Linked DNA regions of Saccharomyces cerevisiae S288C. The gene in region 3 interacts genetically with the main gene of each other region. Each region holds a gene or a part of one and is shown on either strand. Other genes may lie near its edges. The genes, in order: BEM2, CHS6, TPM1 and RGD1.

Region 1 (8,212 bases), on a different chromosome or scaffold from region 3:
GCATGAGAAAATAAAGAATCTGGTAACTCTCTTAAATACATCTTAAAACAGCCTGCGATCGCATTCACTTCAAACCATCTATCGTCCTCTAATGTAAAGGAATTATCTGTTGCACCTTCTTCGTCAAATGCGTTCTTTAGTGCATTTATACTGCCGATGGAACCAGGAATTCTGTACAATCCCACTTCATCTAGCCCACGCAGCTCAATCTCTTCCAGCAATTTCACAACAATTGTAGGTATCAAGGTATTCTCTCTTTCACAAACGTCTTCTAATGGTACCCCAAATATCTTATTATGAGTTTTACCTTTATATTTTTTCGAATGGAATGAAAATCTCTTGGAAGCCTTGATCATTTTTATCCATTCTGTGAGGTCACTAGAACTAGCCGTTTGAATCAGATATTCATGGCCATTTTGCATAACTATCTTGAACGCATAGTAGTAAGCCGGAATGTTTCTGTGATTGATTATTTCCATTATTGACTTGATTTCAAAGGTCTTCAAACTATAACTAGGTTTTAAGTCGTGTAGTTGCATGGAATCAACCTCTGGAAGTATACTTGGTAGAATGGATTTGTTACTTGAAACTTCTTGCGATAATATACTGTTGAGTGAATAATTAGAACTGGATGTGTTGAATCCACCGATTGAAAATGGTCTTCTGAAAAATCCACCTATTTTTTTACTAACACCATTATGGCTGGAATTTGACACTACTGATGATCTATTTGTGGAAAAGGAGGCCCTTGAATCTCTTCTATTCCTTGCTGAATTATTGCTTTCCATAACACTACCTAGAGAAGGCGTTTGACCGGTGTTCTTATTGATATTATAGCTATGATCGTTGTCACTATGAGTACCTGAGATAATAACAGACTTCCTATTCTTTTTCGGAACGGCCTGATGTAAAGCAGCAGAGTTCTTCAAGATCTTTTCTTGATCGAGTAAAACCTCTAATTTTCTGGCTTCCCTCTTTATTTTTTCAATTTCATTGACTAGTATTTCATTAAATACTCCCTGCTCTTGAAATCTCTCCGATATGGCTTCTGATTCTGATACTTTTTTAGTCTTCTTTCTGTATACTTTATTAACATCTTCAAAATTATTGAACAGAATGCGGCCAAATGTAGTTCTTTTCGAAGGATTTTCGTCACTCATTTCAATATCAAGTGGAAACTCCCTTTCGTTCGGAATTAAATCCAAGACATTAGATATTATGTTGTTAACAAATCTCCTTTTGTCAAAATTAATAAGTTTCGAATTAGTGATACTCATGTTAGGGACAAACTGAGATATTTCTAGTAACCTTGAAATGAACCAACCAGGGCAGGGGCATAAATTCTTGCAGTTTTTGCTGAATACATCATCAATCTCAATGAATCTCTTTATATGTATGTCATCTATCTTCTCTAAAACGTTACTAATCGATCTTAGATTTTGGGTTCCTTTAGTAGGGTCCGAAAGTTTTTCAGAAGCTTTGATCCACGAAAGTTCATAGTTTCTAGACTCTGGTGATATTATGGCATGCGCAATAGCAGTTTCAATAAAAGCTGGAATGTGTGGACAAATAGCATGAGGACTTTCATCCTCCTCTGAATCAAATAAATCCAAACTTCCGTTTTTCCAGCGGATGTAGTTCAAAATTTGTAATATAACTTTACAAGTAGTTAACCTTTCACTACTGCTTTTGTTGACGTTTGAAATTTCCATCACGAAAAACGTAGTTAGACTCGTGTGTAACTTTATTAACAATTTTATAGATTGTGGTAGTTTTTCAAAAAAAAGACTCTCCGTACCATTATCATCCTTAAGAATCAATGTAGAAATCCAAGTAAAAAGATTGGAAATTTCAAACTCGTGCAATTGCAAATATCCGGGGTTTATCAATTTGCTTGACTTAAAATGTAGCGGATAATTGAAAAAAGAGACCAGAGATTCCTTTGAAAGCAATTCCAACTCCTGGAAAAGAACTATCCAATCTTTCTTAGAAACTAAATTGAACTTCTTAGAAATAAAGTTATCTAACTGGTAGATCCATTCTAGTATATCTTCGTAATTGGTTGAGTGTAACTTTTGAAAAGATCTAATCATGTCATCGCTAAAGGAAGGATCATCAATGATGTTGTTAAGATCTGTAAAAGAGAATGTGTTAAAGGAATTCAAAATGTCAGTTATTCTCTTCTGAGTTCTATTGACACCAATAGGTCTGTATAGTTGCTTTTGGTATGCTGATTTAATACCATGAAATAGATCAGTTAACGTAGTCAACAAATTTTCTGTTTCAATCACAAAATTTTCTGGTAGGCTTTTTTGTAACTTTGAGTTTGCAATTCGCGTAGGCCATTCAGTGGATACTTCTTGTTCCATTATTTTTATAATATCCAATAGAGTAGAGTTGTTACATAAATCGTCAGTAAAGTCAGAGTAATGATTTTTCACTAAATGTAGTATAGCTTCCGCGGCGCCGATTTGGATTTTTGCCATATAAATAAGGTTTATGTTTTCATCGTCAGTTACTTTCATATCCCAAACAGGAAAATTTTGGTCGTATAATGAAGAGGACACTAAATTTGTATCCTCATTTATCTTCATTTTAGAATCATCACTGCGATCTAAAATCTTGGAAATTGACACGCTGCAACTCTTTGCACCAACATACCGTTTTGCCATATTTTCTAATACCGTAGTTGTAGTAGTAAAGCTTTTATAAGTGTTGAAGAATGTTTCTGTGAAAATATCATTGTCCATAGTTAGTTTAACGAATGCATAATCTAGTAGTCCTATGTTATCATCGGAAAGCCCTCTGGTAGAATGACCCCTTTGTCTTTGATGATAGTAATAATTCTCAAGGTCTTTAGTGTCTACCAATTTTGAAAAGATATTTGAAGTTAATACCAGTAAATCAAAAATCTTTTCTAGCGACGACGATTTCAATACGACACGAATAATCGATTCTTTTAGTGAATCTGATACTTGACCAATATTGTTGAAAAAGTCCATATTTTCTAATGTCTTACTTAGTCTTCCAGTGGTATCCAAGGAATCTCTCATCTTTTGGTTTGGAGTAGCTGGATTATTAATAAGCATGGAAGAGTGTTGTGAGAATCTCTTTGGTGTTTCTATGACCATACTAGCAGGACGGGATTTACCATCATTATCGTATACCGATTTAAATACTAACTCATCTGATATATGAAACACATCCATGTCAATATTAAAAACATCTCTCACAGATTTTAATAGTCTCTGTTTATTTGATTGTTTTGACGACATCTCTTTGATCACAGGTCCGTCAATTTTTCCAACACCTGTAACTTTATTATTATCATTTTTTGAGGACATAGCATCATCTGTTAATGAGCCCATAGTGTGACTGTTTGAAGCTATTGGAATTGGTTCACTGATTGAAAGTGATTTTGAGAGGCGCGCGGATGATCTTGGAGGCGGCAACTTCGCATCACTGGCAGCACCCACTAATGTATTCTTAGGAAATAGTGAATAATTTGGGAATAGTTCATTGAATAAAATGGGTAAATAACTTCCAGTTACTAAAGCACTCCTTTGAGAACCAATAGTAGAATACGCTTTCTGGTCGATTATTGGAGGTTCGTGTTGGACACTTAATTTCATTATTCCTTCAATGTTCAACGGAGGTTGTGATAAATGAAATTTCCAGAGCTGATAAACAACGTTATTAGGAGAATCATTATCCCTGACGTTTTCTGTCGAATTAGTTTTATGTCTCGTAGAGTCGATTGCTTGTAATCTTTGTTGCCATTTATGAAAAGCGTTTTTTGTTCTGTTAATTTTCTTTTCCAAGTACTTGAATTTCGTATCAGATGGTAAATCATCAGCATGAATTAATAAATCGCCAAAATAAGAAATCACGTTAGCTCTCGTAAAGTCGTCATCCAGATTTGGAGGAGCGAGTATGAAAACACTACTTGTAGATTTAGATGTCCTTTGTCGCCTCTCTAACTGAATAATGGTAGGAACCCAATCTTTAAAAATAGTTTTCAATGACTGATCAGGAACATATTTCCATGAAGATGACCTTAGTACAGGAATTGAACAAATGATAGTGGCGACAGCTAGCCATGATACCATGTCTCCTAAATGTTCAAATCTACAGCCAATTTGGACCCATTTATCTAATAACTCAGCTCTCACTTTTGGAGTCACTTTTTTACTAAACTCAGGATTTGTTGGAAATAAATGTGATATTAGTAGCCTTCCAAGAAAATGGATATTTTGGTCGTTGTTGAATACCAATGGATTTAACGAGACAATTCTTCGATTAATAAACTTCGAATCATACAGCAGAGAATAGTCAAATTTCGGTGCCCATACTTTATCAAACTTTAAATTGATATGATGAACTTCATCAGCCAATGTTGTAATGTCTAAAGACAGGAAATGACTTGGATCCAATATAATCTCTAATTCATGTGTAGATGATGTTGCCATTGGAAGAGATCGAGTGAATGCGGTAAGTTTCATTAATTCGTTATGTTTATTGGCGATTTTAATTTTCAAATTGTTGGAAATTTCATCGTTATGCAAAGATATAGTATCTAATAAGGAAATTATAGTCTTCAGCATTGGTTCATCCAGCAAAAATCCCGGAAATACATCAAGGATTGTTTTAGCAGTTAAAGCTAATCTTTGAGTCATGGAGTCATCGACAGCAGGGGATATGTTGTAGAATTGTGTGGAATTATTTGTCAATCTTGATTTATTCTTGGTAAAAGAAAGACCGAATTGGTTGAATACCTTTAGAAACTTAATGAAATGATCTAGTAATGGAAACATCAATAACAGATTAATAACAGCTCTATGTGTCTTAGATAATGATTTCTCATTAGGTACGTCCGATTGCTTTGGACCGGGGTAAAATAAGACTGTGTGACATAAACTTTCTATTGTGCCTGATATAATTTTACCATCACTGTCTTGTCTTAAATCTGGGTGCGGGTAAACTTCAGATAAATACTTCAGGTCCAGTGTAATAGGTTCACCCATTTGGCCAAATGATTGCTTTTGGTGCAGAGCTTCCGCTTGTGCTTGGTTGTTTGTTTGTTGTTTTTTCTGTTGATGGTTTTCATTTGCTATACTACTATTTGAAGCTGGTAAAGTTGGATCAAAAAACTTAATGTTACTATTCAAACCACTTTTGTAAAGGTTGAGAACGCAACCTTTCAATTGAGCCCTATAAAGACGGTAATCAGGTACTAGCATTTGAGGATCTATAGCCATGCTGCTTCTTGCTGAGGCCACATCATTGCCACTGTTAGTGGCCGTAGTACTACTGCTGTCATCATTTTTTAAAGACGAACCGTCGTTCCCATAAAACCTGCTTTCCCTGTTTCTAGAATACGCATCATTACGGAGATTCTGAGAGGAGGACGAAGAGGAAGAGGAAGGGGCTGTCATTGAGCTATTATAGTTTGTAGCAACAGTCTGGCCATGGGACTTATTAACCCATCCAGTCTTAAAAACAGTTGTATCATAGTTTTCAGAGTTTAAGTGGATAACATTTCTTTGCTTTTGCTCGTTATCGTTGTTATTATTGCTATTGTTATTATTAGTGCCGCTACTGTTACTGATACCTGAAGTGTTCAACGATTTCTCTAGCGTAGTTCCAGTGCTACATCGAGACTGAGGAGGTGATAAAGACGAGGAACGTGAAGGCAACAATGAGTCTTTCGAATGGGCACTCTTCTTGTACGCAATGGGAGTCTCATCCTGGGCATTGGACTTCTGGCTAGAAGAATTGCTTATTTCATCTTCGGAGCAGACAGACGGAGAATCGTCTTTTAGCGTAGAGGCTATGCTTCTAGAAGATCTGGTGTTAGTATCCGAATGATACATCCCCAAGTTCACCTGACTGGAACTAGTGGATGTGTACTGCTTGGAGGGTGGAAATACGGAGCTTTTTCTCTTATCTCTGTTGTTGTCTTCCCCTCTGTGGTGACTGTGTCCCTGGCCATGGTGATGGTGGGAATGCATGTATGGAGAAGCACCGCTTGTCGAGTTTCGAATAGTTTGAGAGGATGATGACGGCGACGACGACGATGCTGTAGACGCAGTAGTTGTCTTATGAGACGTGGAAGTTGAGCTTGAACTAGCACTGGCCGTTGAAGATTTCCTGTTCTTAGACCAGAGAAGACCTTTCATTAGACTCCTGCTTCGTTATTTGTTTTTTTTGTGTCTATCCAGAAAAGGCACGACGACCGTGTGTTCTTTTAAACTGAAACGTTTGCTTGTTTGTTCTGTTGGAAAAAATGGGACTGATCTGCAGTCTCCTAACCAAAGAGGGAAAAAAAAGAAAGAAAATTGCGTATAGCGGGAACGGGAGAATACGAAATCTGTATATTAAAAATGAAAAAGAATGTTTGAGTTAGCAGACAGTACCAGTGGCTGCAACGTAGCTTGCTTCTTTTGTTTTTGTTTTTTGTGCAACAAGAGCCGTCTGATATCTTGTGTTCTCAGGTCATTTTCAAGAGCGTGTTTCACCGAGGGGAATATGTTTCAGGATTCGCGGCGGGAAGATTTTTGCTTGCATTAAAGATTTACTTACTATACAGAATAAATAGTGGAATTGTTAAATATTATTAAATAGATAAGGGACCTGACTGAGCGCTCGCTCCCGACTAGGCCAAAGACATCTTAGCCAGCTCATATACAGCCTCTTTGGACTTGGCACCTCCAATGAAACCTGCTGCATGAATGAAGATACATCCTGGCACACCGCTCTTGGTGCTCAGCTCTTCGTCTCTGAGGCCTCTTAATGGCTCCGGCAAACCTCTCCTAAACTGGAAGGAGGTGGAGTTGATTGGTACAGTAGATACCCTCCAGGCACCAGAAGAGTCTGTGAAGAGAACAAACTCGATTTGCTTTTCAATGTTCTTCTCTCTTTCCAGCTCGTATAGATGCTCCTTCCATGGACAGAATTGGGGCAAGACAATGATTTTGCCACTCTTATCAACATCCATTCTTTCATCAATGGCTTGCGCCACAAGGGCCTTGGCTGGCAACCACGATTGACCGTAGCCTCTTACCAATGTGACAAAGACCCCACCGATAAACTCACTTGCGCGAGCAAAGCATCTGTCAAAAGACTCATCGGAAGTGTCTTCGTTCCAGTTAGGATTCATACCTGAAATAATCCCGGGAATGCTGATGGCGTTATCCCTGAAATTCGGTTCCAAGTTGGAATCCTTAGGAATCGTGTACTTGCTAATACCGTTGTCGTTTGCATCCAGTGCCTCGACAAATTGTTTGTATACCTTGTCATAGAGCAGATCTAAATCAGAGCTGCTAACCTTGTTGTTCAAAATTGTTTTGATAATGTCACGACCGTAGTGTTTGAAGATCAGACCAGCACTTGAGAGCTTAGTCTTGTATTTCTCGTTGAAAGTTTCGAAAAATCCACGCTGGTGGTGGTCAAAAAATTTCACGCCGTCATACTGAGCTCCTACATCCACTAGAATGTCACTAGCCTCCCAGTCCTTGGGATTTCTTGATCTAACCAACTTAGCATCTTTAAATTCGGGTAGTAGCCTTAACATGTATACCGCCAACGACTCGTCCGCGTGAAAAGATCCGGAATGCGTGCATATTTGTTTGGACATTTTTGAATTTAGCTTTACTCTTTTTACGCTATTCATGCAGACTTTTTGGGCTGGGCTCTTCAATTCCACAGCTTTTCGATAGTATTAACACATCATTACTTTCTACGTTGACAGAAAATTTTCGTGATTTGCCGTTCCCATCGCTCGAAAAGAAAGTGAAAAACTGAAAAAAATAATAGAGATTTATCAATGAATACAGTAATCCAAAGACGAGAGAAGAGCAGGAAAATTCGTACTTATATTGCAACTTAATGGTGGGCTCAGATTTTTCGATGCTCTGCCTCGTAACTCTAAGTATCAGCTGCGGATGGATCATAAGTAGTATTAATATAGAATATAGAGGCGCAAATTGAGGTTACCCTGTATAACGGCAGTCGTTGCGTCCATTGTTATGTAAAGTCTTGGCTTTATAGACACACAATAAATACTCCCAGCATGAATTGTTTTACCCAATATTGCACGAATTATCGACACATCCAAAGATGGCGAGAAGTAGAAAGAATTCATTGGTTCGAGATATTGCGTCTCATCCGACTATACCAGAATCTCAGACCATAGTGGGTTTACTGGACGATT
Region 2 (4,684 bases), on a different chromosome or scaffold from region 3:
CTATTAGAGTCAATTTTCCCTGCTTCCGTACTAGTGGGCTTATCATCGATCTTAATGAAAGCCCTGTTCAACAGTTTAGCTAATGGAGACTGTGAACCAAAATCTTGTCCAAACTTCCAAAAGGACCCTGACATATTTTTTCCTAATTATTAAATGGGCAAAACGATAAACGCCACTATTCTTAAACACTAACTAAAACGAATTTTTCAGAATCTCTAATCAACTAAAATTAGCATGTATTACCTCAAGCTAAAAATATTTAAAGATCTTAGTAAAATATATCTTTTGCGTACCTTTCCCAAATACACAAGCTAAACTACCCTTATCAAGCAGATCTGGTGAAATTTTAAACAAAAATAGTCCCGTTCGATGACTTCGAGCGATGCCCAAGCTTTTCTCATTCTCTTCGGAGTGTTTTGGCGTTAGCCGTCAATCCCTCGCAAAAAAAATTTTCTTCCCAGTTCAAAATGTAAAAAAAAAAATAAAAGGTATACGGTTACCCTTACCCTCAGTCCATCCAACCGTAGTGGTTATATAATAATACTAAGAGCACCGTTTTGTTCAAGGTTGTACTGTGTGATCTAGGTCGGCTATCCACGCAAGCATGGCATCGATCATGACCATGATTTCGTCTCCTATGGAAGGTTGAAGAAGGATCTTATTACGCAGTATATGCGTCCCCAATTCGTTGCATAGCTTTTCTAGCAGTTGCAGATTAAATATCTGGCAATAATTATAATACCTGCAATCATATGATATTTTCTTAATTAATAAACTTATTATGGTATCTGTGTCTAGTAATGTAACCTCTTGAATATTTTTTGGAGGTTGCAGGTATATTTTTAGCAGCTGCTGGCAACTTACGGGGTCGAATCGAGCTACTATGCTTGTTCTTAGACAAGCTACGGCATCTTCCCAATGCCAGGTACGCAGCATGATCAAACCCAAAAGTTCCCACTCTAATCCGCTGTGTTTTTCATCTTTATTGCTTAGGCTAATCTTGCTCAATTTCAAGTCTTGATATAAATCTAAAAATAAATCATCTAGCCACCCTTCACAAAACCTTTTCTTTCGGGATTCCATCGGTATATGACCGTTTTCATCGATAATGTTGTTAGAAGCTTGATAGAATTCAGTTTCCATCATGAAAGCTTCTGTTCGGATGTTTAATAAGCCATTCCAACCAATTTTGTTCACAATTTCCATTAATAACCCATATATTTTACCACTAAACCATCCCAATTGTTTGCCGATCGTATTCCTTGCTATTAAATTGATATTTTTTATGTTTTTGACCTCTTGAGGGGAGACATAATTAATCAGATTCACAGATTGTGGACCACAAATCGGACCCAACTTTATCGCAATATCATCCCAGATTTCCTTTGTATAACCGATTTTTTTTTCGTTTATCATTGCGATTCTTCCAAAAATTTGCCGTTTTAACTCATCCTCTTTCCAATTCCTCAACGTTCCCGAGAGATTCGTGAATTCCATTGCAGTCAAGTCGTAGTGTTCGCGGGTACCATTCAATGGCTTTTTATAATAATTGGAGGTAAGAAACCTACTGTACATTGTTTCCAGGTGTCCATCATTTTTGCGCAAACGAGGCATTGAATTTATTGCGAAGAGAGCCTTTTCATACTCCTCTTTTTTGATGTGGCATCTCGCTAGGTTGTACCAAGATTCAAAAGAGTCTAAGGCTAGTTCGGTTGATGTGTTAGAGACGCCTAATGCTAGTTCGTAATCACCCCTGTTTAACAAAAAATTTGTTTGAATGTTCAGCAAGTCACTCATGCAATTCATTAATCGTGCTGAATCAGCATCGCGAGGCGGTAAATCATTTAGCAGAGATAAAAGGGGGTCGAGCGTCTCATTTAAAATAGTTATCATGTCTAACTCCTTTGTTTCTATGTGATCTAGAATTGTGATCATAGCCGTCTTGTAGTATATGTCATGGATTGGATCTTTCTTGGTAAGTCCTTTCAGGTAGTCGATTGTAAAATCCACTAGGCTTGGCGTGATTGCAATAAAACTTTTTAAACTATACATTAAATAGTTATTGACAATGGTGGCTTGCATACTCTTGGTAGAATCCCACCCGCAATTCAGTGACCGTGGTAAGAATCGGCAGAGTAATTCTATGATCTTTTTGCAAGAGGAGATAGTATCTTTTCCAACGTAGAATGGACACTCTACTAAACCGGGAGGTTTTAACTCTGGATTAGTATTTGTTATTATCGCTCGGATGACAGAACTTGCGAACGTTTCTTCCCACATTTTTTCTGTCATGGTCAGGTCAGTGGTTTCCTTGTTACAGTCAATTGCCGTTGTCTGGAAAGTATCGTCAGCATCGTATCTAATACGGATGTCTAGATTGCTGAAAAAATTAAAACAGCAATAAGTCAATATGATATTATTCGATATATTTTTGGAAATCCGCTTACTCGATTTTAGCACTTCAAGAAACTCTACGGGCATTGCAGGACCGGAAACTTCGATCCCTGTAACGTAGAAATATTCACCAAACTCTTCTTTTTCATGTTTGTTTAAGTAGGACATGTGAACAATCTCAATGGGACCTAGTCCAACATTGCCAGAAGAAATTAAATCCTTGATTAAATGCGTTCTATTGTGCAGACACTCACCAAACTGCCTTTCCATAATTCGTGGACAACTTTTAAATATGTCTCGATTGAGGAATTGATAACCCTTTTGTACTGAAGGTGAGTTCCCAGGTGTATAATCGCCACCAGGTATTTCATTTTGCTTTTTGGTTTCCGATGGCCAAAACAAATTCATAAGGGCAATAGATGTAATCCTTTTTTGCACCAACAGCTTAAGAAAGGTGTTTGCTTTTAATGTGAGTTAAGTAATGTAATGATTTGTTAAGATCCTCTATTCCTTTTTGAGTATCTATTTATTTTCCTAAATTCTTCAAGGCTATTTTTACCATGAATCCGCTAAGATCTGTTTGGGTTCCGATTTTTCGAAGACACACAAAAATAATAGCCGGTTGCTTTCTAACACTACAGAAAGAGGTTTTTTCGAAAGAGTCTATTTCCTATATGCTAAAGTAGAGTTATGATTTCTTTATATTGAGTATGTATTGAATTATTTTCCAAAAAATCAACACCAGGTGAATACGGGGGTGGAATTGACTATTTGTAGCCGCTCTGCTATCACTGTTTTATTAGCAAATGGGTGCAGAGTGGAATCATAGTATACAGGATTACTATTGCTTTGGTTATGTGCATGAAATGGAATTGTGCTTGGGGTGCTAGGGAGTACCATTGGTGAAGTGGAATATGATCCAATAGGTTCGTCTATGGCGTTTTTGAAAATAGAAACTGGAGGTGGGCAACAGGGAACTTGCATCTTCTCATCTATTACCTGGCACCTTGTCCTTCTAACCAATTCCAAGGGGCCTTGTCGTGGGTCTTTCAATGTTTCGACAACGTTGAACGCCTGTCCTTTTAATACTGCCCATTGCTTCTTCCACATTCGGACGTTAAAATCTTGGTCCCTGCTAAATAGGGCCAAGAATTCTTGGTACGACTCTTCCCACCAATTAGTGCTTGTCAATATCGGTAGGAAATGAGATCTCATTTGCTCAGAAAATGGTTTGGCTAGTAGTTGCAGAGGCAAATACAACCAGCCATATGGGTACAGACGCCACTCATCAGGATGCTTCCAGGGAAAGGACAACCCATTGTCGATGGCGGCTAACTTGAGTCTCCACTTATTGTTTGAAAGTTTGATTAGTTTCACCATCCAATTGTCTAGACCTCTATCTGTGTTTCTCATTATATAATCAAGGATAATTAGTTTTTCTAGTTCCAATCTGAACTGACTCAAACTTGATTCTGTCCATTCAAATTTCGAATTTTCTTCAGATTCCGTCGAAATTGGAGAGGAATTTATTTGCTTGGACGGTTCTGTCTCATCTGTTAGGTTCCTGGTTGTCTCTGGTTTATGATTGATATCTTCGCCGGATGACTTACGATGAAATGAATGTTTAACATCTGAATACATCCCAGGTAATGGGTATTTATGAAAGAACTCATCGGCGTTGATGTACTCCTTCAAAAAAAGTTGGAAAGAACCCAGCTTTTTTTGTTTCTTCTTCTGAAGGTTGTATCCCAATACCCATTTTTTTCTATTATCATAAAAATTAAAAGACTCTATAGATGCAGTATCTGTATAGGGTACTAGATGCGTTTCCAGTCGCCTATCCAACAAACTAGCCGCACTTTCACAGATGTACCCGAGGTTTGGAATCAGACAACTTCTGCCAAACAGACATGGGAAAAACGTGCGGTGTGCCCATTTGGTCCATTTGGGAGAAAATGGGCCATATGGTTCCTCATCCTTGGGCTTGAAGACCCCCACCGGAACGCTTTCGTCGGCCCGTGTTCCATACACAAAGTACGACCCACTTGAGCCAGTTTGGATTCTCTCGAGTTCGCGTCCAAATGTCTCTACAGCCTCAATACAGTCAGAAACCAAATGGTTGAAGTTTTCCCTCTGTTCTTGTTCTTCTTTTCTTCGGAGCTGCTCATATGCTAGGCCCTTGGTTGGATATGCATGCAGCGGACGAAATACCGAATATTGAATCTCATATTGACTTCCTTCTTCTTCTTGCCCTGACGCTTTGTCCTCTGCATTATGAAGCAGTCCAACG
Region 3 (3,200 bases):
CTTGGCAGTTAAATGATTCAAAGACAGCGTTTTCATAGAACTGTACGTCTTTTTAAAGGTCGCTCGCTCATGCTTGGCATACTTGTCCTCATGAGGGCCCATACCAGTACTTAGTATCCACGTCATCTGGTTTTTTAAAACCCTGAAGAATCAAATAAGATTATTTGACCAAAGGAAGGGAAGGGAAGAGAAAAAAAACTTAAAGAAAAAAGAAATGAGAAACCCTGGTGTGTTCACGTAGATGCACAGACGGTGGGCAACCCAAAACTTAGTCTTCCGATAAACTTTTCAGGTTCTTGTACACGTGGAAACGCCCGATATATATCACATGTAGCTGTGTAATATGAGAATGCCTTTGTCCATGTGATAAACCGTGCAAAACTTAACATGGGAGCAGGCACAAGTGTGAGTCCCACGAACAAAACGCCGCTCGGGTAATAACGCCCAATGTAAAAACATCATAAATCAGCACGCAAACGGTAAAGAACAAAAACATCTTCAAGGGAAAAGTATACAGATGTATAGTCTAAGCTATTGTATTTGTATAAATGGTTCTTATTTTAGTTTCGTTTGCCCATGAGCGTTTGATTTGCTCAAGAACAAGGAACAAAGACCAGCGTGTTGGGGAAAAGAAAAAGAAAACAAAAAACAAAAGTAGATCACAAGTTTTCCAGAGATGCAGCAATTTCGTCCAGTTCCTTCTTTGCGTCTTCGTACTTGACGGTCAATTCCTCGTTCTTTCTTTCCCATTCTTCTCTTTGTTCTTCCAAGGCAGCTACTCTTCTTTCCAATTGATCTGCCTTCAAGTCGGACTCTCTCAATTTCTCAGTGGTTTCCTTTAGCTTGGTGTCGCTTTCCTCCAAGTCTTCTTCCAATTGCTGGTTCTTCTTGGAGAAATTGTCGTTGTTGGACTGCAAGTGGTGAGAGTCCTCGGACAATTGCTTGGATTCAGCCAATTCTGCTTCCAACTTCTCGATCTCTTCCTCCAATTGGTGGTTCTTCACCGTCAAGGACTTGATCTGATTTTCTTTTTCAACGTTATCCTGTTCTGTTTGCTTAGAGTCAGAAAGTCCCGCTTCCAGCTTCTCGATCTCATCCTCCAATTGCTGGTTTTTGACGGTTAAAGACTTGATCTGATTCTCCTTTTCGACGTTCTCTTGCTCCAAGTCCTTGTTCTTCTCTTTCAACTCCTCGTACTTCTCCTGCCATGATTCGGCTTCCAACTTCAAGTTGCTTAGCTTTTCTCTGATTTTGTCCATTGTTGCCTTTTTTGTGTGTATGGGGTGTGAGTTCTACTATGTAGATTTCTTCTACCAACCTAATCTTTTACAGTATCAGAAGGGAAAAACGAACCTTCTTCTTGCCAAGTATGCAGTATGTGATCTCTAACACTTTTCCGTTTCTCGTAGATCGTGCTATGGTGTGCTGATTTTTTATTTTAATGGTTACCCGACTTCTTTACCCGGCTCTCCGTCGGGTAAGATATATGTGCTAGCGCCACGCGATGGCTGGTTTGTCTTTTTAAGTTCTTAATATTTATTTTTATATTTTGATTTTTTTTTTTTTTTTTTTTTTCCATTAGTGAATGACAGCAATGTATTAAGCTGCTGCCGCGCATACAAAATGTACTGCGTTAAATTAGATTAGCTTAAATTAGTGCTTGGTAAAGGAGGAGTGGTTTCAAGTCCGGTGTGCGCCCCACTTTATTCGGGTATCTTCTACGTTTTTACATCCATGTTTCAGGTACTGTTGAAAATAGTTAAGATCGTTCGTATTTCTTAATTCATGTATTTTTCCCTGTTCCTAACTCGCAAACATCAGTTTTCTTGCAGATACGTCTTGAAATACAACCATACAGACAATGGAGACATACGAGACTAGCATTGGGACTCAGTCTTATCCCCCGACTTTGTTCCCACCTCCCCTGGGTACCGGTGGGTTTACCACTTCAGGTTATATACATGCGCTTGTGGATTCTACATCGAACTCGAACTCGAACTCGAACACAAATTCGAACACAAATTCGAACACAAATTCAAATTCAGATACCAAGATTCCTATAGTGCAAATATCGGATGACTCTCATATAACACACGACAGCTTCAAACCATATATGGAGTACCACGATGCTTCGCACTTGAGGAACCGTAACATAAGCAAAGCGGACCAGGTTGAAAGCACTGAAGTGATGGAACAGTTTACGCAATGGTCGAATTATAAGATGAGGTCTCGCTCTCCTACCATAAACGCAAAGCCAATTCGACACACTTCACAACGAAGAACAGACTTTACCAGCAAAAATGAACTCTCCAAGTTCAGCAAGAATCATAATTTCATTTTTCACAAAGGGTTTTTGAAGAGGCAACACTCCATACGCAGGGAAGACAGGCAAGCAAAGGTACGGTCAAGATTCAGGAGCAAGAAGGAGCTGACATCCGTTTTGAACTATATAGAACTGGAACAAATGGATATTGCAAATGTCCTGGCTTCGCAACCGGTAAACTTACACGCTATCAGAAATCTCACTAGCAGGGACCCTGCGGTAACTCCTATCCCATTTTTAAGAAGCCAGATGTATGCAACCAGTAGTCGTCCACCGTATCTAAGGAACCGCTCCATAAGTAGGAAACTACCCAAATCACAACCAGGTAGTCTCCCGACGACTATGCCTGCGACGGCGACGAAAACAATTAAACAGAATTCAACGACCCCAACCACAAGATCTGTTTATAACAAGAATGTGGGGCGGTCCAATACTTCCCCTAGTGTGTTGTACCACCCAAAAAGAAGAGGAAAATTGAACACCAAATCGCATGCAAGAAAGGAGCAACTGCTGTTGGAACTGTGGAGAGAATACTTAATGCTGGTTATAACACAGAGGACGCAACTGCGCCTGACTTTGCTTTGCTCTCCGGGTTCAGCATCGAATGAAAGCTCTGTCTGCTCTTCTAACGCCAGCGACTTAGACATGTCCCTTTTATCTACTCCTTCAAGTCTCTTCCAGATGGCAGGTGAGACCAAAAGCAATCCTATAATTATACCCGACAGTCAAGACGATAGTATACTTAGTAGCGACCCCTTTTAAGTAGGTAACCCCCCCTGGATTGCATAGCCATTGCATAGCCTTAGACATCAAACTTTATTTAATCACATTATCCTTCTATGTATCTTTTTCCCCCGCTCGATTTCTTCTAGAACAT
Region 4 (4,614 bases), on a different chromosome or scaffold from region 3:
GTTGCTTGGAACGGCTAGTAATAGAATCTCTCCAAATTCTAGAACCCTCTTTGGTACATGCGATAAATAATTTGATCAAGTCTAGCATAGAATCACTCAAAAATGTAACAGTGACAAGTGATGACAAAACTTCATCTGGTGTCATTATTTTGTCCTACAAAGAATTTAAGTCACTATCTGAAGTTAACAAAGATTTCAATGAACCATTTTGGCCTAACCAATCAATTGCGAATAGTTGGCCAGATTTCGCGAATAAGCAATTAAAGAGGGGTCAAATTTTGCAAGACGCATTTGCATTCCACCTTTTTGAAATTGAACTACCAATTATTATCGATACTACAAGAAATACGCATTTGAAACTCGTTTCCAACATGTGTACTACGAGCATATTGTACTTATATAATGAAGTTGATTCCTTATCATTAACTAGCATACAGGAAAAATTAGCTGTTTTACCGACAAGTAAACGGAATGAAATCTTATTGTACAATTTGAACAGGCTAACAAAATTGAAACTATTGTTGTTGAAAGAGAACGAAAAAGGACAAAAGTTTTACGCATTTAATTTTAAGTACAAAAGGGATGGACAGAAAACATCATTAATAAGGTTAATTTAACAACCGTGAAGACAGGGAGTTGGACCTTAGCAAGTTTTGTAGTAAATTATTATGGAATAGTACAACAGAATTTTTTTTTTTCTCAATATATAATTTTCCTTTGTTTTTACTTAAATCTGATAACAGCGTCAATGTACATACAAGTGGAAATTAAAGACGGAATGAAAATATCATAAGTGCTATGTTTATTCAGGCTCAAAAGCTTGATCTGAAACCTCTAATAATACTTCCATTGCCATAATTTGAAAATTTACATCATTAGCGTCATCTGGATTTGCAGGCGCAATAGTTGGACCCCAAATTATACAAAGAGCCCTTAAATTCATTCTGTTTTGGGCTTCATGTGCCAACACTCTTTTCAAATGAAAGACAAGAGCCCTTAACGTCCAGTATTGTGCGTCGGGGAGGTTATATATTAGTCCGTGCATAAAATTTTTTCTTGTTGTTGGGTCTTCAATTTGTAAACAAACCTTGATCTCCGATGATAGGGCCTTTGGTAAAACACTATCAGGCAGCGACGCAAAAAAAGTTTTCAGCAGTGATCCTACTAAATAAATATCCGAATCAGAATGTGGCTTTGATGGTAGAATCATGGAAATGTTTGCGGGATCCTTATCAATTTCCTCCTTCAACTTGCTGACATCAAGTACATTTGCCGATTTTCTATAAATTCCTTCTTGATCAAGCCCAAATTTATCAATAACGTATATGCATTGGCGCACTATCGCAGGGACCATGTCTTGTTCGAATTCTATCAGTGATTCTAGCGGTACACCAAATGTTTTGAAATTTTTTTGAACACCGGGTGGCATATTGTTGTTAGTCTGAATGTGAGAAATCGGGCGATCCGAGTCTAAAGAGTTAATCAATTCTTCTGGAATTTGTGGACTATTGTTGCCAGGATCCAGGGTCTTTGTTATGGATGATGTGGTGTCGCTTGTTACAATGGAAGAAGACGGTGACATAGCGCCAGCCGCATTGCTAGTGGAAGAAATAGATGAAGCCATAGTAGGTGGTAACTGCTTGTTGGTATTTAAGGACGGTGTAGCACTGTTAAGATTAGCATTCGGAACAGCGGCAGTGTTACTACTACTGCTCAAAAATGGAGATTCATTATGAGTGGATATCATTCTCTTCGGGATGGAGTTTCTTGAAGGGTCCACGGCAAACTTTGGGGGGCTCTTATTTTTCTGACCATGATTCATTGATGGATGCTTTTTGTATGATACAGGGATCAAGTTTTTGTTGATCAGTAGGGAATGTTTTCCTGTTTGGTTATACTTGTTCAAAAAACTGTAAAGATCACGTTCATTGGAAACAGATCCAGCAAATGATTTCATAGATTTGGTGGAGTCCAATGGGCTTATTGTAACACCTGTATTCAGAACCAAATTTTCCGTCCATATCGTGTACTTCTGCAATTGGATAGTCATCGCTGTGTCTATTTCTAAAATCAAATCTTTTAATTCTTGAACAATTCTAGGTCTCTCCTTCGTTATGAATGTGTTTCTCAAAGAATTAGAATGATCTACTTTTTGCTTATATTCCAGATCGGCGTTATCGATTTTTCTTAACAATTCTTCTTCTTGTTCCTTCGTAGTTTTGGAACCTCTCAAGGTCAGCTTTGTTTTTGTTGGGTCAGTCATCCTCAATTTGTCCCAATCTTGGCACAACGAATTGTAACGAGATTGCGCCTTTTCTGCGCTGTGTATGGCATCAGAAACATCCTTTTCCAGCCTTTTGCTGTTCTCCTTGACAGACTTTCTTAATTTTGTCATTGTTAATAAAAGACTACTAATCTCGGAGTACATTTTCTGCAAGGCGGTGATATAACTCTGCTTTACTTGAGCCATCTTGCCATCGAATCCCAAAACTTCGTGAATCATCTTTTTTAAGGATGAATTTGTGGAACCCTGAATGTTGAAAAAGTGCTTATATTGCTTGGAGAGCTCCTGAACGTGCTCTTCTTCGAAGGCGTATTTCTTTCTAATAAATTTCATAAACTCTTCACAAGTCAACAACGACTGCTTTAAACGGCTCAACAAAGCGTTAATTGCCACATCGGAATTTAGCACCTTCTTGATCTCTGGCGTGCTAAAAAGGTGCGCCAAATCGTCGGTGCCACCATCGTGCGACGACTTCGCACTTACTGTGGCACTAGCTGGTTTCTTCGCAGTCTCTTCCATCTTGTCTATATCACTTCTCTTTTAATCTTCCGAGATTGTATGTTTTTACTTTACATACTATTTTGTTCACATTCTTTATTTTCTGGGTTCTTTTTCCATATATATCGAAAAAAAAGTCTATATAATGGCACAAATGGTGAATGCCAGCACAAGAAAAGGGGCGTATCTATATAAATCTATGCATCCTTGATCCTAGTTTGGCATGGGCTTGAGTGCGTACATCCTCACTGGGTACAATTCTCTTGGTAAGCCACGTTGTCTTTCACTGGCGATGAGCTTTAGGCCAGCTTCTTCGAAGATTTGCCTGAACTTAGCATCTGACCTTGTGACCGAAGAATCCGTTTCGTCGAAATCATCGGTATCTGTAGGTGTGTTATTTTCTTTGACCACGATTGTCCCATTAGGTTGCAAACCAACAATACATCTTTTCAGGAATGCGACGAGTTCTGCATCTGGCAGGTGTCCCACGCACCATTGGCACCAGATCAGCCAGTACTTGCCGGCATCGGGGGTCCAGTCCTGCATCCCTACTTCATATATTTGTCCAATTTGGCCTTTGTCTTTCAGCTCAGCCAATTCAACGTGCATTTGCTCGATAAAAGGCTTTACCGGTTCTACAAGGTCTATCTTAGCGGCGTGCTTGTGAAGCATGGTCTTGCTTACACGTCCAATCCCCGCACCAATGTCTACAGCGTACTTCACGTTGTTCTCCTGAGGCAGCATCCTCGACTTCAGTTTACGCAGGAAGTTATTGGATCCCAGGACATCCATTGTGGGTACTACTGTACCTTCTCCGTATCCACCTAGAACACCATCCACAGTGGCGTCCACATCCGTCCAATAGTCGATGGCATCTTCGTATTTGATATGGGAATCTGCAGGCACGTCCATCGTTGTTGTTTATGTATTCTTTCTTGGAGATGCTCTTGACACCGATGCACATTACCAGAGTGAAAAGTACTGATTAATAATTAAATTTTTCTTTTGATATTTTTTCTGAATATAAAGTTCTACACAGAGTCGTTACAATAGGTTATATACATGAGGATGTTCGTTACAGTAGGAGAAATAGAAAGCTCGCTAATTCTTACCCCAGGAGTAGATCCAATCGACAGAGTTTCTTATCTGTTCATTCCAAATATCTTTTATGCTCTCCCCCATGGTCCTGCTCCATGCAGTGCCATCATCCGTCACAACTAGCTTGCGGTTCCTGGTCTCCCCAGGTACCACTTCTTTTCTATCCACCAGGTCCTGTACCTGATGATCTTGTTTCAACCATGTAGCATCGTGATCGTAGAAGTAGCCATTGTTACTGTATCGGTACAGGTAAAAAACAGAACCGATTACTCCCACAGAGAGAGTCCACTTCACAGATCTTGCTAACGGACCCAATTTCGACATGATTCTCTCCGTTATCTGCTGGTTCTTAGTCCACTGTCTGTTCTGTCCCCCTTCTGTCCAAGAGATAGAATATAAAAAAGACTCATTATTTTTTTTTAGGTACTTCGCTTATTGGTGGTCAATGAGAAAAAAAATACTAAAAGCCATCGCCTCTTGGAGAAGAGCAAACTATCAAAAATCATCAAGCCGACATTTCCACATCGAGTCTCATAGTCTTTCAATCATGTTTCCCAGAGCTTCTGCATTGGCCAAATGTATGGCAACTGTTCATCGTCGTGGGCTACTCACCAGTGGTGCACAATCGCTAGTCTCCAAACCAGTCTCGGAGGGAGATCCAGAGATGTTTGACATCTTGCAACAAGAACGTCACAGACAAAAACACTCTATCACCCTTATCCCATCAGAAAACT

Evidence for each region.
Region 1: mutations in TPM1 (region 3) and BEM2 together harm fitness more than expected from each alone (negative genetic interaction), as found in Saccharomyces cerevisiae (5 studies listed by BioGRID, with this or other methods).
Region 2: mutations in TPM1 (region 3) and CHS6 together harm fitness more than expected from each alone (negative genetic interaction), as found in Saccharomyces cerevisiae (4 studies listed by BioGRID).
Region 4: mutations in TPM1 (region 3) and RGD1 together harm fitness more than expected from each alone (negative genetic interaction), as found in Saccharomyces cerevisiae (3 studies listed by BioGRID).

The regions. Positions count from the first base shown.
Region 1 is NC_001137.3:476,670-484,881, forward strand, and holds the start of BEM2 (GTPase-activating protein BEM2), read right to left. Parts: upstream 6,180-8,212; coding exon 1-6,179. Other genes in the region: MYG1 (Myg1p), read right to left, coding at 6,656-7,672; Golgi transport complex subunit COG3, read left to right, coding at 8,119-8,212. UniProt on the Saccharomyces cerevisiae protein: GTPase-activating protein (GAP) for RHO1 and RHO2. Involved in the control of cellular morphogenesis. Required for proper bud site selection and bud emergence.
Region 2 is NC_001142.9:237,532-242,215, reverse strand, and holds CHS6 (Chs6p), read right to left. Parts: upstream 2,803-4,684; coding exon 562-2,802; downstream 1-561. Other genes in the region: SAP185 (Sap185p), read right to left, coding at 1-134; 1-phosphatidylinositol 4-kinase LSB6, read right to left, coding at 3,130-4,684. UniProt on the Saccharomyces cerevisiae protein: Member of the CHS5-ARF1P-binding proteins (CHAPS) which mediates export of specific cargo proteins, including chitin synthase CHS3.
Region 3 is NC_001146.8:477,907-481,106, forward strand, and holds TPM1 (tropomyosin TPM1), read right to left. Parts: upstream 1,260-3,200; coding exon 660-1,259; downstream 1-659. Other genes in the region: EOS1 (Eos1p), read right to left, coding at 1-126; NIS1 (Nis1p), read left to right, coding at 1,862-3,085.
Region 4 is NC_001134.8:731,837-736,450, forward strand, and holds RGD1 (GTPase-activating protein RGD1), read right to left. Parts: upstream 2,804-4,614; coding exon 803-2,803; downstream 1-802. Other genes in the region: YBR259W (uncharacterized protein), read left to right, coding at 1-617; TAE1 (N-terminal protein methyltransferase), read right to left, coding at 2,996-3,694; MIC12 (Mic12p), read right to left, coding at 3,884-4,204; glycine hydroxymethyltransferase SHM1, read left to right, coding at 4,428-4,614.